Linked DNA regions of Yarrowia lipolytica. The protein of the gene in region 1 interacts with the protein of each later gene in a biochemical or structural test. Links are inferred from orthologs where the notes say so. Each region holds a gene or a part of one and is shown in the gene's direction. Other genes may lie near its edges.

Region 1 (5,950 bases):
CCATACGCGATGGCAATCCACCACAGCTTCAAGATTTCCAAGAAAAAGGCCCTGCCACCGGCCAAGAGCAAGGCCACGCTACGACCCAAGTCCACCGAACCTGTTCCTGTTGCTGCCAATCCTCTCATCACCGCCTTTGAGGTCGACTTCAGCAATGACGGTCCTGTTGCTGACTTCCAATGGGACATTGAAACCATTGAGAAATCTCGGGTAGTCTTTCCTTTGGCTCCCGAGGCTTGGGAGACTACCTTTGCTGCTGTCCACGAGTCCGACACTACACAGACCACGCAACCCCCCTCGGAAGATGATACCACTCTGGAGATTACCGAGGAGAAAGTCGCGACCAAGATTGTCCCTCAGAAGTTCATTCCCGGATGGATGATGGTCGGTGATACCGGTGATTCCACAGATGTTGATCAGTCAGTCGACCCACCTCAATGTTTCGATTGGGTTGACTTGTTTTTCGAACCCAAGAGTGCAACAGAGTACGACCCACGGAACTTTTCCAGCCACTTCCAGGAGACTCTCAAGGTGTCGCAGGAGCTTTATACCCCCGGGTCTGTGGTGAATCCCATCACTGAGGGCTACGTCATATCTGGCAAGTCCACCCATGCCTTCTTCAATCCCATAACCGGCGCCATGACTCCTTGGATCCACCAGCCAGCACCTCGTGCGTCGAAGGACAAATCGACTAACACAACTCTGCGCACCATTCCAAACACAGACTGCTTGAATGTGGGCGATCCCAGCTACTGGTGGAATGTCAGAATTTGCTCGAATTACTTCCACCTCGGTGAGGCATCTAGCAACAGAGTCGTTGCTGCTCTTTTCAGCACCAGCTACAAGGCTTCTCTCTCAGGACCCACAGAGATTTGCATCATTCGTTGCTTTCAGCCCTACGTGAAAGAAGCGTCTTACGCTTCACAATTCTACACATTTCTACCTCAGAAAAACGAGAAGTACGCACTGGCACTGGCTGGAAGTCCAACTTCGAATCTCTTTTTGGTGGAGTCATACAAGGAAGATGTTCACTACATTTACCTCCTGACCAGCTCTCTAAATTCCCCCCTGCCTCATTATAAGCTTGTTCTGTCAGTCAGCCATATTTCTCGAACGCAGAAGAATGGCAATTTGAGAGGAAAACAGTGGTGGCATCACCGCATTCTAACTTTTGGAGACAACCTGGTCATATTCAAAGAGGGTAGGCTCGCATCGTGGAGAATAATCTACGATTGCTCTACTGATTCAGTCAAGGCTTACTTGATCCCCGAAAAGTATGGGTTCGTTGCCGACGTACACCCTGTTCAGTTTGGCAAACACCTGGTCTTCTCCAGAGGTGTGCTAGACATGTCTACCTTTCAATTCTGCACGGTACCCGTGGGCCAGAATGATCGAAAGAAGATTGTCTGGCACAAGAGAAACGGCGTTTTGGTTGGGTCCACTGTAAACAGCCTCTCGTTCCAGTGCTTCTACCTCGGAGATCCCTCTGAGGTCTAGCTACCCCGGTCACCTATATTTATTTTGCTTATTCGCCATATCATCTAATCATTACCTCATCCTGTATTGTATCGTAGTTTATATGCCTATCTATTGTATAATTTCGTGCCAATGGAAGCTGGGGATTGCCTAATCAAAAGGCAAAACACCGGAACCACGCAGTTTGCGCAGATCTCCAGGTTTCTGGCTCATCTCAGAGGCTGCAATGGCACTGGGCACCTTGATTCCACAACAGTCAGCCCAATGGTTGTGAATGTGCTGCACTTCAGCATTGGGATCAGGAGGAGGTGACACCCCCTCAGGAGCCTTGATCAGCTGACCGAACATGAAATGCTGGAGAATGGGGAGCTTGCTCAGAACCTCAGCGTCGTACATCTTAACCATACCCTGGTTCACCTTGGCCCAGGTCTTGACTCCGGAGATGTCATCCAGCATGGGGGAATGCCATCTCAGAGAAGCAGTGGTCTTGACACTGTTGATGAAGTGGATGCAACCCATGTACAGATACTCATGCTTCCACATATCCAACATCTCCATGTCGTGGATGGATAACGGCCGCAGGTACTTGTGGCATGCAAGCTGGGCAGATCCAAACATGAAGGGTAGGAAGTGGTAGTCATCGAGACCCCAGACACCATGAGAGCCTGCAGGCTCCAGCCAATAGCTTGCTTGAACAGCACGCATGGTCTTAAGATACTGGACAAACACCGTCAAAACTGCTGCAGAGGAATCAGTCTCATCTTCCACACACTTGGCATTCTTGGCCTCTCCTGTTGGATCGTGCACCTCAGGATTGTACTCTGGCACATCAAGCAGACCCAGCTGCCTCAGACAGAAGAGGAAACAGATAAAGTTGAGCTCGTGGCCAGATCCGAAATCAATTCGCGTTCGGTCACCAAAAGAGGCAGCGAAATATGTACAGAGCTCCACGAGCTGCCAGTCCTCCAACTCTCCCAAATCCGAGATCCAGTCCTTGGCGTTCTCCTCCAGAGCCTGATGGAAATCTCTGAACTCAGGTTTTCCGAACCGTGACGACGTAGCATCTTCAGGCGGATACTTGGCGACAAGATCAATCACCTTGTCGAGAATGGCCACCAATTTGCCAATGATTGGGTGCTTCAGCGTCTCGTATGAGTTGCCCTTGCCCACCACATAGTAGTTGAGCACCTTCACGAACCCAAACACTTGCTTTTTTGTGTCACTGGCGCCAAATATTTCCAGATCTTTGGGCGACAGAATTCGCCGTACCGGGTGTGAGTGTGACATGTTGATAAAATTGTGCGCTGTGTTGAAGTGGTACTGTAGTGCTGTCTAAGTATCGCGATGCCGATTATTCTGTGTGGTTATGCAAGGTAAAAACCTTACTCCAACGCCCCCCAGGACGACCGTTGATATTAAGCTACAGTGCGTGTAAGGTTGGACCCCAACCCCCGTGACACAGCACTTTTCTCCTCCCAACTGACGCATGTGATATATTACTGTACCTATGGCTTGCATCGCATGAAATCTCTACCTCGGATCTCCACCGTCAACGTCTGGTTTTTCGTCGCAACCTCTCTGAGCTATCTCGTTACCGCCGCATTTCTGTTATTTGTCTTCTGCGTCACATTTGTGTCTCTTAAGCTCGCTCTTGCCGCCCTAGCCATCGCCCTAACATCTACTCAAGCACAATCATACGCTCTGAAAATGGCCTCCCAGAAACGACTCATCAAGGAGCTGGCAGCATACAAGAAAGACCCCAATCCTTGCCTAGCATCGCTCACAGCCGACGGCGATAATCTCTACAAATGGACTGCCGTCATGAGAGGAACCGAGGGCACTGCATATGAAAACGGTCTCTGGCAGGTGGAAATCAACATCCCCGAAAACTACCCGCTACAGCCACCGACCATGTTTTTCCGAACGAAAATCTGCCACCCAAACATCCACTTTGAAACCGGAGAGGTGTGCATTGACGTTCTCAAGACGCAGTGGTCCCCAGCATGGACCATCTCTTCTGCATGCACCGCAGTGTCGGCCATGCTATCTCTGCCAGAACCAGATTCGCCTCTTAACATTGACGCAGCCAATCTCGTGCGATGTGGCGACGAAAGCGCCATGGAAGGTCTGGTTCGATATTACGTCAACAAGTATGCATCGGGAAACTAGAGTAGTTGGTACAAAACGTCGTAATAAATCAATAAGTTATATGAGTTAGTGGGAACTGGACTCTAATGTTCCCAGTATGATATAGCGGGGTTCATTCTAGAATATAAGTGAGACACAAAATCGGCGCTCAAAAAAGCGTTCAGTAGGAGTCATCCTCCTCTTCTTCTGGCTCCTGCTTCCGCTGCTGCTGCCGCTTGAAGTCAACCTTCATCTTGACGTCCCAAAACTTTCGGGTAACGTCACTGAGAGGCCGGAAGGGCACCATCTGCTGGAGCATTTCCTGGGGAATGAGGTCCATGTCTGAGTGCGTCTGCTGTCGCAGCACAGACTTGAGCCACAGCGAATTTTCGGCCTTGGGAACCTGTCGCTGGTTTCGGAACTTGTACACCTTGCTGGGGATCTCTCTCTTTCGGTCGTCCAGGCTCAGCAGCAGAGGCTGCATGTGTGAGGCGAGCGCCTTGTGGAGGAAAATCTCGTTCATGGACTCTCCGGTGTGTTCCTTGACGGTGAAGGGGTGTGGCTGGATGCCGAGAATGCGGGTGGGGGACGAAGTGTTGCCACTCTGGTGTCGCGAGAAGTTTGGGGTGAAGTGGCTACGACTGAACATGTAAGGGTTGTTCTCGTATGGAGGAGCTGGTGCCGAGGGGGCAGGCGAAGATGCAGCGGTGGATGTAGTGGATGTGGATGTAGCAGTTGTGGAGGCGGTCTTGGGCTGTGGAGCTTTATTAGCTGCCTCGGGTTTGGCGTCGGCCTTGACCTCGTCTTCTTCGCCCTTCTTCACGGGCTGGGGAGCCACGTTGGAGGCGGGAGATGGTGACTTGGATGACTTGTGTCTTATGATGAGTCGGCAGGGAGCCACACTGAGTCTGGTAGCGGTTGTGGGTCGGTACATGATGGCTGTGGTGGGTGGCTGGATAAAGCCGCAACTCTGGATGTAGGGCGGATAAAAAGGATTGTCACGTGACGAGTTATGCTAGGGGAGTGTCCTGCTGGTTTCCGTGCTTCAAAAGAACCGCGTTTGGACGTCTTTTGATGTAGGGATGTGTGGTTGGTGTAGAAAGTGGAGGTCCGGTTGAGAGGATGAGGCGATTGTAGGTGACCCGAAGTTTAATCAAAGGAACATCCAGTATCGGGAGCAAGAATGTGAAGAATGTTTTGGGGGATGTGGTGTAATTCAAGAGGTGGCGACGATCGGGACATGTTCGGTCGAACGTGGGATCAAGATCGGACCAGCTAAATACCATCGTCATTGCCATATATACCCCGCTGGTGTCATTTCCGCACTCATGCCGAGTCGGCTTATCATGTCATTCACGTGATGCGCACTACATACTATCAAAGTTTGAAGACGTGGACAGGTTCTCACCCAAGAGAAATAGGCTTACGTACAGAGTTGGTGTTTTTTCTCTAAGGCACAGACCTGCACAGACAGACTCACAAACAGTCCAACACATAGTAAATACACTGTCAACAACCTCATACTTGTACAGAGTTGGGTGTCAAGAATAGAGTACAAGTAATAACTAAGGGGTCCTTACTTTTTGCGGGGCGGAAATTTTTGCACGTAAAATTCATTAAATTGATGGGGCGTGATATGAAGAGCTCCTGCTTACAGAGAAAATGAAAATAGTCACCACGCGTGCAGAGAGGTTTCCCACTTGGTATGGTTGCCCCACCAACTGCACGTGACTCGCCACAGTGTGTAATTTTCCGGGTAACTTTTCAAACAAATCTAGCTTTGCAACTAAGACGTGGTTTTCATAAAATTCACAACATCAACCAAATGGAAGACCAAATCGAACAGGCGGTAGATATCGCGATCCAAGGCGTCGGCGACCCGGCCGTGCGACAGCAGGCCCTGGATTTCTGCAACCAGGTCAAGGCGTCTGACGAAGGTTGGCAGATGTGCTTGGCGATGTTTGCTGGAGACCGGAAGCGAAGTGATGCTGCGCGATACTTTAGTCTTCAGGTGATTGATGAGGCTCTGGGTCGGCTCAACCGTGAGCAGCTTGTCTATGTGCGTGATCACCTTTTTGCATACGTGAGAATGGGCAGTGGACTCAGCCAGGGACAGGCCAACGTCAATGTCGGCCAGGCCGTCAGCTTTGCTGATGATCCAGTCCACATGAAGAACAAGCTGGGTGAAACCCTGGCCTATCTGTTCATTATGACCTACACGGAAATTTGGGACACCTTCTTTTACGACTTTGAGCGGCTACTGGAGAGCCCCGAGAACCAGTTTGGCAACCCGCGTGCGGCGGATCTGTACCTACGCGTACTGAACGATATCCACCGAGAGATTGGA
Region 2 (6,941 bases), on another chromosome or scaffold:
AAGACGAGTACATGATGCCTTCTCCTTCGTCCATAGGCTCCCACTTATCCGCATCAATGGCAGGATCAACCCAGGAAGTCGCTAGAGTCGCTGACTGTTCCACATGCCGTCTAATGTACTTGACAAACGCAGCCTCGAGATCAAACGGGAACTTGCCAGGTAAAACTTGGACATAGAGCTCTCTGATCTCGCACAGCTTCTTATACAGCAGCGTCATATCATCGTAAGAGGGCTCCTCGTGTCGTGCGGTCATGTGGCTCATCAGATGGGTGAACATGGACTGCGAATCAACAGAAAACAGCGAAAAATGTGTCTTGGCTGCAATCAGAGCAATGGGAACGTGCTCTAAAAGCGGCCGTTTATATCGTTTCTGCAGCCTCTCAGCGGAAGAGATGATTCGGTCCGCCAACTCGATGATATGCAGAGGATCCAGTGTATGGTCACGTGGAATGGCGTCGATGAACTCGTCGTATTTATGCTCGGCCACACTCTTGACCACTAGACTCAGATTGTCGAATACCTTGGGCATATCGACTATCATCTCGACCCTGTCCCATTCGGACGAGCAAAAGACACACTCGCCGAGAATCTGCAGATAGGGACCAATGGAGGGTGGTTTCTGTTCGTAGATTGACTTAATGCAGCCTGAAATGAGGTCAATGACGAACACAAGCACCTCCTTGAGCCCCAACACGTACACTTCTCTGTCGCAGACCGGCCACAGAGACGTGTCCCACTCTCGTTTGCCGTTCTCCCGGCCTACGTGTGAAATGAAAGACACCGAGTCCTCGATGAGGGAGATGGGAAGCTCCTTCAACTTGAGCAGTTCTTGACAAACGTCCATAACAAGCGCGGCTCGTGTACTGGATGGAATTTGCCACAGATTAAAGCATTCCGTGAGAATGGCGATCGAGTTTTTGCTCAGTAGAGTATCACTTTTGGACTTGAGGTCGTGGGAAAGACAGATTTTGACCAGTAATCGCCCGTAGGCACGCGGATCTTCGGGAATGTAGTAGTAAGTGGTGCTCTGGGTTGACGACTGGGCTCCATACCCTGCCAGCTGTGTCTGAACAGCTTCTATAGCTCGATTCTTGTAATCCTGATACGCGTCGTCAGAACCAAAATACTGTCTTTGGTAATATGGGAATCTGTCTTGTTTGAGTTGGTCCAGTGCTAGTCGAAGATCTGCCTCTGCTGCCTGCTCAGTGGCTGTATCTTTGATTTCAGAGACACCTTTCTGAATAAGACTGTCACTCATGAGAAAGTACGGACCCAGCGATTTGGCCAGATGAATATCTGCCACGTCAAACGTTGGTGTCAGTCCCGCCGAGTAAGATGCGCTTCCGTTTGACTCTCCCAGGTTGCCCGTATCATTAACCAGCTTTGATTCGTAGCTCTGTAGTTGTCGAATAAGAGAAGCACAGGACGATTCGAATCCTGCTTCTCGCAGGGTGGCAATCAGAAATTTGACAAAGGTGGCGGTGAAGTAATTGACCAGTCGTTTAGTTTCTGCTGGCTGTGAGCCGCTTTTGGCCAACTCCTTCGTGGACGAGGAAATGAAGAACATGACCACGTCTTCAGCCCGTCTGTTTTCTTTGATTCGACGGGAAAAGTCTGGATCCAAAAGTAGAGCGTAAAATGCGAGGAAACACCGCCGAACCAGCGGGTCAGTGATGTCGCTAGAACCCTGGTTAAGAGCCAGCTTGTTAAGCTTCTGCTGCAGCAGCTTGGGGGCCTCCTTGGGCAACTTTTGGTCGCCGAACGACGGAGTGGGATCCGACACCCCCAGAGACGCCAAGTCACGCGACTGCCGTTTGCCTCCCCCTCGGAATCGCGGTTCGCATCGGTATGACAAGACACACACCTTGAGCACCTGGTCGAACAGTGACTTTTCGGTTACCCTGGAGATTCCCGACTTGACCCGCGAGTGTCGTCGCGTCGTCGTGAGCGGGTCTCCCACGGGTTTGCGGCGTATAGCTGACATGTGGGTTGTTGTGTTCAAGTGTCAAGTGTTCAGAGAGAGAGAGAGAGAGGGAGAGATGGTTGATGATGTTGATACGGAGAGTGCATGCATGAATGCGAAGTTTAAGGGGTGGTAGAGGATAGTGGGGGTGGATGCTTAGTCAGGAGAAGGTCGAGGGTTCGAGGGGCAAAATAGGGCAAAATAGGGCAAAATAGGGGTTGCCACGTGATAAATCGGATGTTCACGTGACCCCTGATCGAGAGACGCAACACGTCCTTCGTTTCTGGTCACGTGAACCCTCATCTCCGTCCGCTGTGGCGACGTCAGTCTGTCCTTGCTTTTGTCATTAATAAGCTCCATAATTTCAGCTGTCTGCTGTCTGCTAATTATAGATATTGTGAATCAATCGAGGGGGTGTGAAATTTGGCGAGCAAAGTGTTTTGAAGCTGATATTGGGCCAAACTTGAGGTATTTCCGGGATTGGTATTTCTCAGATTATGACTTGTGGCTGTGGAGGTCACGTTTTCATCGCTCAGATCATTGTTATGAGTGCAGATCTGTTTATCAGTTTCTTCATAGGGAGACGCAGTGTCAGATCCAGCACTGGACCCGATAGTTGCTGTAGGCACGTGCGCAACTGCAGAGTGGATGCATGTTCAGGCTCTCAGGGTCTCTAGTGTGTTTTCGTCTTAGCGTCATGTATTCTCAAGCTTAGTCAGAGAGAAGGACTATGGAGGAGAAGGGGAGAATTGAGAAGGGTATTTGAAGGGACTTTGAAGGTCGCGTGGAAGAGGTACTTGAAGAGGTATTTGAAGGTCACGTGGAAGAGGTATTTGAAGATCACGTGGAAGAAGTACTTGTTTTACAGAGAATATCGGGGTGATTTTGACAGTGGGATTGTCTCCCAAGTCCTAATCGTTTGACATGGGAGCAGTGAAAAGTCGGGCTAAAAAAGGGAATATCGGAAATCGGAAAGACGGAAAGAATTACTGGACTCATGTTTAGTAGATCTGAGCACTTCAAATTTGAAAATATCTCTTCAAACAGCAGATCGGTTGGTCGTGGAGGTACCATCAAGGGTAAAATCAAGGCTATCATCAAGGGCCATATATCGCAAGTTTGGGGGAAGATAATATGTTCATAGTGAATCAGGGTTGTGGATTTCCTCATCTAACGGCATTGTAACTAGTCCTGGAGGGTCTTTTTTATGGATAACCTCCATGTACGATGTATCCAAGATCTCCACGTACTGTGTTCTGTTTCCTAAGTAATACCCAACAACCTCTCCAACAAACACTTGGGAAGATGCACTTGTGCTGAGATGTCAAGATGTTAGTACTGTACTGGATGGAGAGAATATTAATAAATAATTGTTACCCAACTACATCTTGTCGATTGAAAGAGATACCCCTAAGACAGATAGGATATCTGCAACCCGAGGAATGAACCCCCCAGCACCGGCACCCTTTCTATTAACAAAATGCCAACTGAAATTTGAAAAGTTCAACTAAACTTATTTGACCCACAAAAACTCGTCAAAAGTGGCGGCGAAAGCTGGCAAATGATGACATCCCCTTGGAACTATGATATCCCCTCGGAATCTTCGTCCCCATTTGCCACATCTACTTGCAACGCCACGTCTGCTTACTAAGCAACCCAAATCTGCCTCGGCTCAAAATGTGGGGAAGTTCACATGCATTCGCTGGTGAATCTGATCTGACACTACAACTACACACCAGGTCCAACATGAGCGACAATACGACAATCAAAAAGCCGATCCGACCCAAACCGATCCGGACGGAACGCCTGCCTTACGCTGGGGCCGCAGAAATCATCCGAGCCAACCAGAAAGACCACTACTTTGAGTCCGTGCTTGAACAGCATCTCGTCACGTTTCTGCAGAAATGGAAGGGAGTACGATTTATCCACCAGTACAAGGAGGAGCTGGAGACGGCGTCCAAGTTTGCATATCTCGGTTTGTGTACGCTTGTGGGCTCCAAGACTCTCGGAGAAGAGTACACCAATCTCATGTACACTATCAGAGACCGAACAGCTCTACCGGGGGTGGTGAGACGGTTTGGCTACGTGCTTTCCAACACTCTGTTTCCATACCTGTTTGTGCGCTACATGGGCAAGTTGCGCGCCAAACTGATGCGCGAGTATCCCCATCTGGTGGAGTACGACGAAGATGAGCCTGTGCCCAGCCCGGAAACATGGAAGGAGCGGGTCATCAAGACGTTTGTGAACAAGTTTGACAAGTTCACGGCGCTGGAGGGGTTTACCGCGATCCACTTGGCGATTTTCTACGTCTACGGCTCGTACTACCAGCTCAGTAAGCGGATCTGGGGCATGCGTTATGTATTTGGACACCGACTGGACAAGAATGAGCCTCGAATCGGTTACGAGATGCTCGGTCTGCTGATTTTCGCCCGGTTTGCCACGTCATTTGTGCAGACGGGAAGAGAGTACCTCGGAGCGCTGCTGGAAAAGAGCGTGGAGAAAGAGGCAGGGGAGAAGGAAGATGAAAAGGAAGCGGTTGTGCCGAAAAAGAAGTCGTCAATTCCGTTCATTGAGGATACAGAAGGGGAGACGGAAGACAAGATCGATCTGGAGGACCCTCGACAGCTCAAGTTCATTCCTGAGGCGTCCAGAGCGTGCACTCTGTGTCTGTCATACATTAGTGCGCCGGCATGTACGCCATGTGGACACTTTTTCTGTTGGGACTGTATTTCCGAATGGGTGAGAGAGAAGCCCGAGTGTCCCTTGTGTCGGCAGGGTGTGAGAGAGCAGAACTTGTTGCCTATCAGATAATGACGAGGTCTGGATGGAAGGACTAGTCAGCGAGACACAGAGCATCAGGGACCAGACACGACCAATTCAATCGACAACACTGTGCTGCATAGCAGTGCACAGAGGTCCTGGGCATGAATATATTTTAGCATTGGAGATATGAGTGGTAGAGCGTATACAGTATTAATTGTGGAGGTATCTCGTCGCATTGATAGAGCAATACAGTTACTGCTGAAGGGAATGATACCGAGTATTTCGGCCCGATTCAGTTCTTGATATCGTCATTTTGTCTCTATTGTCTACTTTTCAGATAACCTCAACAAATCTTCAACAAATCTCCCAGTAAACAGTCAGAGATCATATCCGAGATCATATCAGATATGTCACGATCCGAGTACAATAATGGATATTAATCTGCTTGATTTTGAATTCTGTTGCGATTATGATTTCTTTGATTTCGATATGAACACATACGGCGACTCCCAGACCTTTAGAAGCTCCAGTTTGGATTCTTAGCAATGGTTACACTCAACTATATCCCAAGTAATACTTGGTAACAATATGCCAAGTTAGTCATTCATTCGTTATAGGAGTTAGCAAGTGTTTGTCAGCTAAAAATGGTTAGTCGGTCGATTACCACTTAGATCTTTTCAGCGTGGAACTTGATGGTACGCTTGAACCGACACTTGGAGTAGTCGGGGCTGTTGATGACGTAGATGACGTTTCGCTCAGGGTGAGGAGTGCAATAGTAGTACTCCTTGGGGCCGTCTCTCAGCTCAAAGGTTCCATCGGCGGCAATGTCAAAGACCGAGCCCTGGAGCTTGTAGCCGTAGTCGCCGGTCCAGAACAAAGCCTGCAGCTCCAGATAGGCGATGGGCATGTCGTTAACAGAGAAGGTGTTGCCCTCGCCCTCGGTGATGGTGATGGGTTCGCCGTCGGTGGAGGCGGTGATCAGGTCATCTTGGTAGGTGACGGGCAGAGATTCGACCGATTGGGCGTCTGATCTGGTATAGGTCAGCTTGTACTTGTCTCCGACAGCCGCCAGAGCGGTGGTAGCGACGGTGATGAGGGAGATGAGTTTCATATTGGCGGCAAGTTTAGCAAAAGATGGCAGTGGGATTGAGGGACAAGAGTGTTTATATAGATATAGATACAACACAACGAGTCTGAATGAGACAACCGAGACAACCACTCCCGAAGCCTCACTAATAGTTACTAACGGCATATTTCAGGTACCACCTGCACCGAGCTGCATAGAGTTTGGAGGGGCACTTAATCTGAAGGCACTAACGGCTGTGATAACGACAGCTACAAGGGTCGTATTGACAATATGGACATATCAGGGAGAAGCTGGAAGCTGGGAGGGTAATTTGATTGGATTTTTCTCCAGAAAACTCCCCATTTAACCCCCTTTATAACGCCCCACTTCGGGTCGTAATTTTAGTTAACCGCGCGCCCACCTCGAAATATGCAGGCCAAGCAGATCGGCGCACAGCGACATGAGCAAAGGGGGCAGTACAGAAGCGGAGAAGAAGACGAGTGTCGTCGGACCACCAAGCCAGTCAGGCACTGTCGGGGCGTTTGTGTCGGTCACGTGACTCTACGATATCGGCTGCCGGTGTATTTTTCGGGAGTCATGGCGGGCTCTCGATGTTTGGTTTGGCTCAGTTTGGTTTGGCTCAGTTTGGTTTGGCTCAGTCTGGTTGGGCATGTCTTTTCGAAGCAACTGAAAGTGAGCGCCAGGGCGGAGTCTATTGTCGGGTCATGTGTTGTTTCAGGTTCATGTATCTTCGAGGTCGGGCATTAAAAGTAATTACTGTTGGAGACAAGTGTCGATTTCTGTAGCGCACACTGTGAAGATCACTGTGGATGTTGGTCACATTTCAACTAATTACTTGGATCATTTAAGGAAATTACTTAGTCTCGTGTAGTAAATTACTTGGTATCACTTAGTCTCACGCAGCTAATTACGTAGTCTCTAATTACCTAGGACCATCTCTCGAACGAGATGTCAGAGAAGAAATCAAAAAAGTGCATTTTGTTAAGAAAAGCCGGATTAGTAAGATGGTAAAAATCTGGATCCGAGTTGGTCTTATTGTGGACGTTGATCTGGATTCTTTAGTGTTGGAATTGAGCTGGGTGCAATACTGGGACTTGGTTTGAAACCAGAAACCTGTTTTCAGGTGTG

The links.
Region 2: the proteins of YALI1_E05599g (region 1) and YALI1_C01416g form a complex in vitro, tested with the Saccharomyces cerevisiae proteins (2 studies listed by BioGRID). The link is inferred for Yarrowia lipolytica from reciprocal best matches to the Saccharomyces cerevisiae genes PEX4 and PEX10.

The regions. Positions count from the first base shown.
Region 1 is NC_090774.1:557,013-562,962, reverse strand, and holds YALI1_E05599g (uncharacterized protein), read left to right. Parts: upstream 1-2,997; coding exon 2,998-3,645; downstream 3,646-5,950. Other genes in the region: YALI1_E05630g (uncharacterized protein), read left to right, coding at 1-1,497; YALI1_E05602g (uncharacterized protein), read right to left, coding at 1,627-2,763; YALI1_E05584g (uncharacterized protein), read right to left, coding at 3,785-4,537; YALI1_E05576g (uncharacterized protein), read left to right, coding at 5,309-5,950. UniProt on the Saccharomyces cerevisiae protein: Catalyzes the covalent attachment of ubiquitin to other proteins. Essential for peroxisome biogenesis. Required for UBC4-independent ubiquitination of PEX5.
Region 2 is NC_090772.1:138,378-145,318, reverse strand, and holds YALI1_C01416g (uncharacterized protein), read left to right. Parts: upstream 1-3,640; coding exon 3,641-4,774; downstream 4,775-6,941. Other genes in the region: YALI1_C01433g (uncharacterized protein), read right to left, coding at 1-1,984; YALI1_C01393g (uncharacterized protein), read right to left, coding at 5,394-5,978. UniProt on the Saccharomyces cerevisiae protein: E3 ubiquitin-protein ligase component of a retrotranslocation channel required for peroxisome organization by mediating export of the PEX5 receptor from peroxisomes to the cytosol, thereby promoting PEX5 recycling.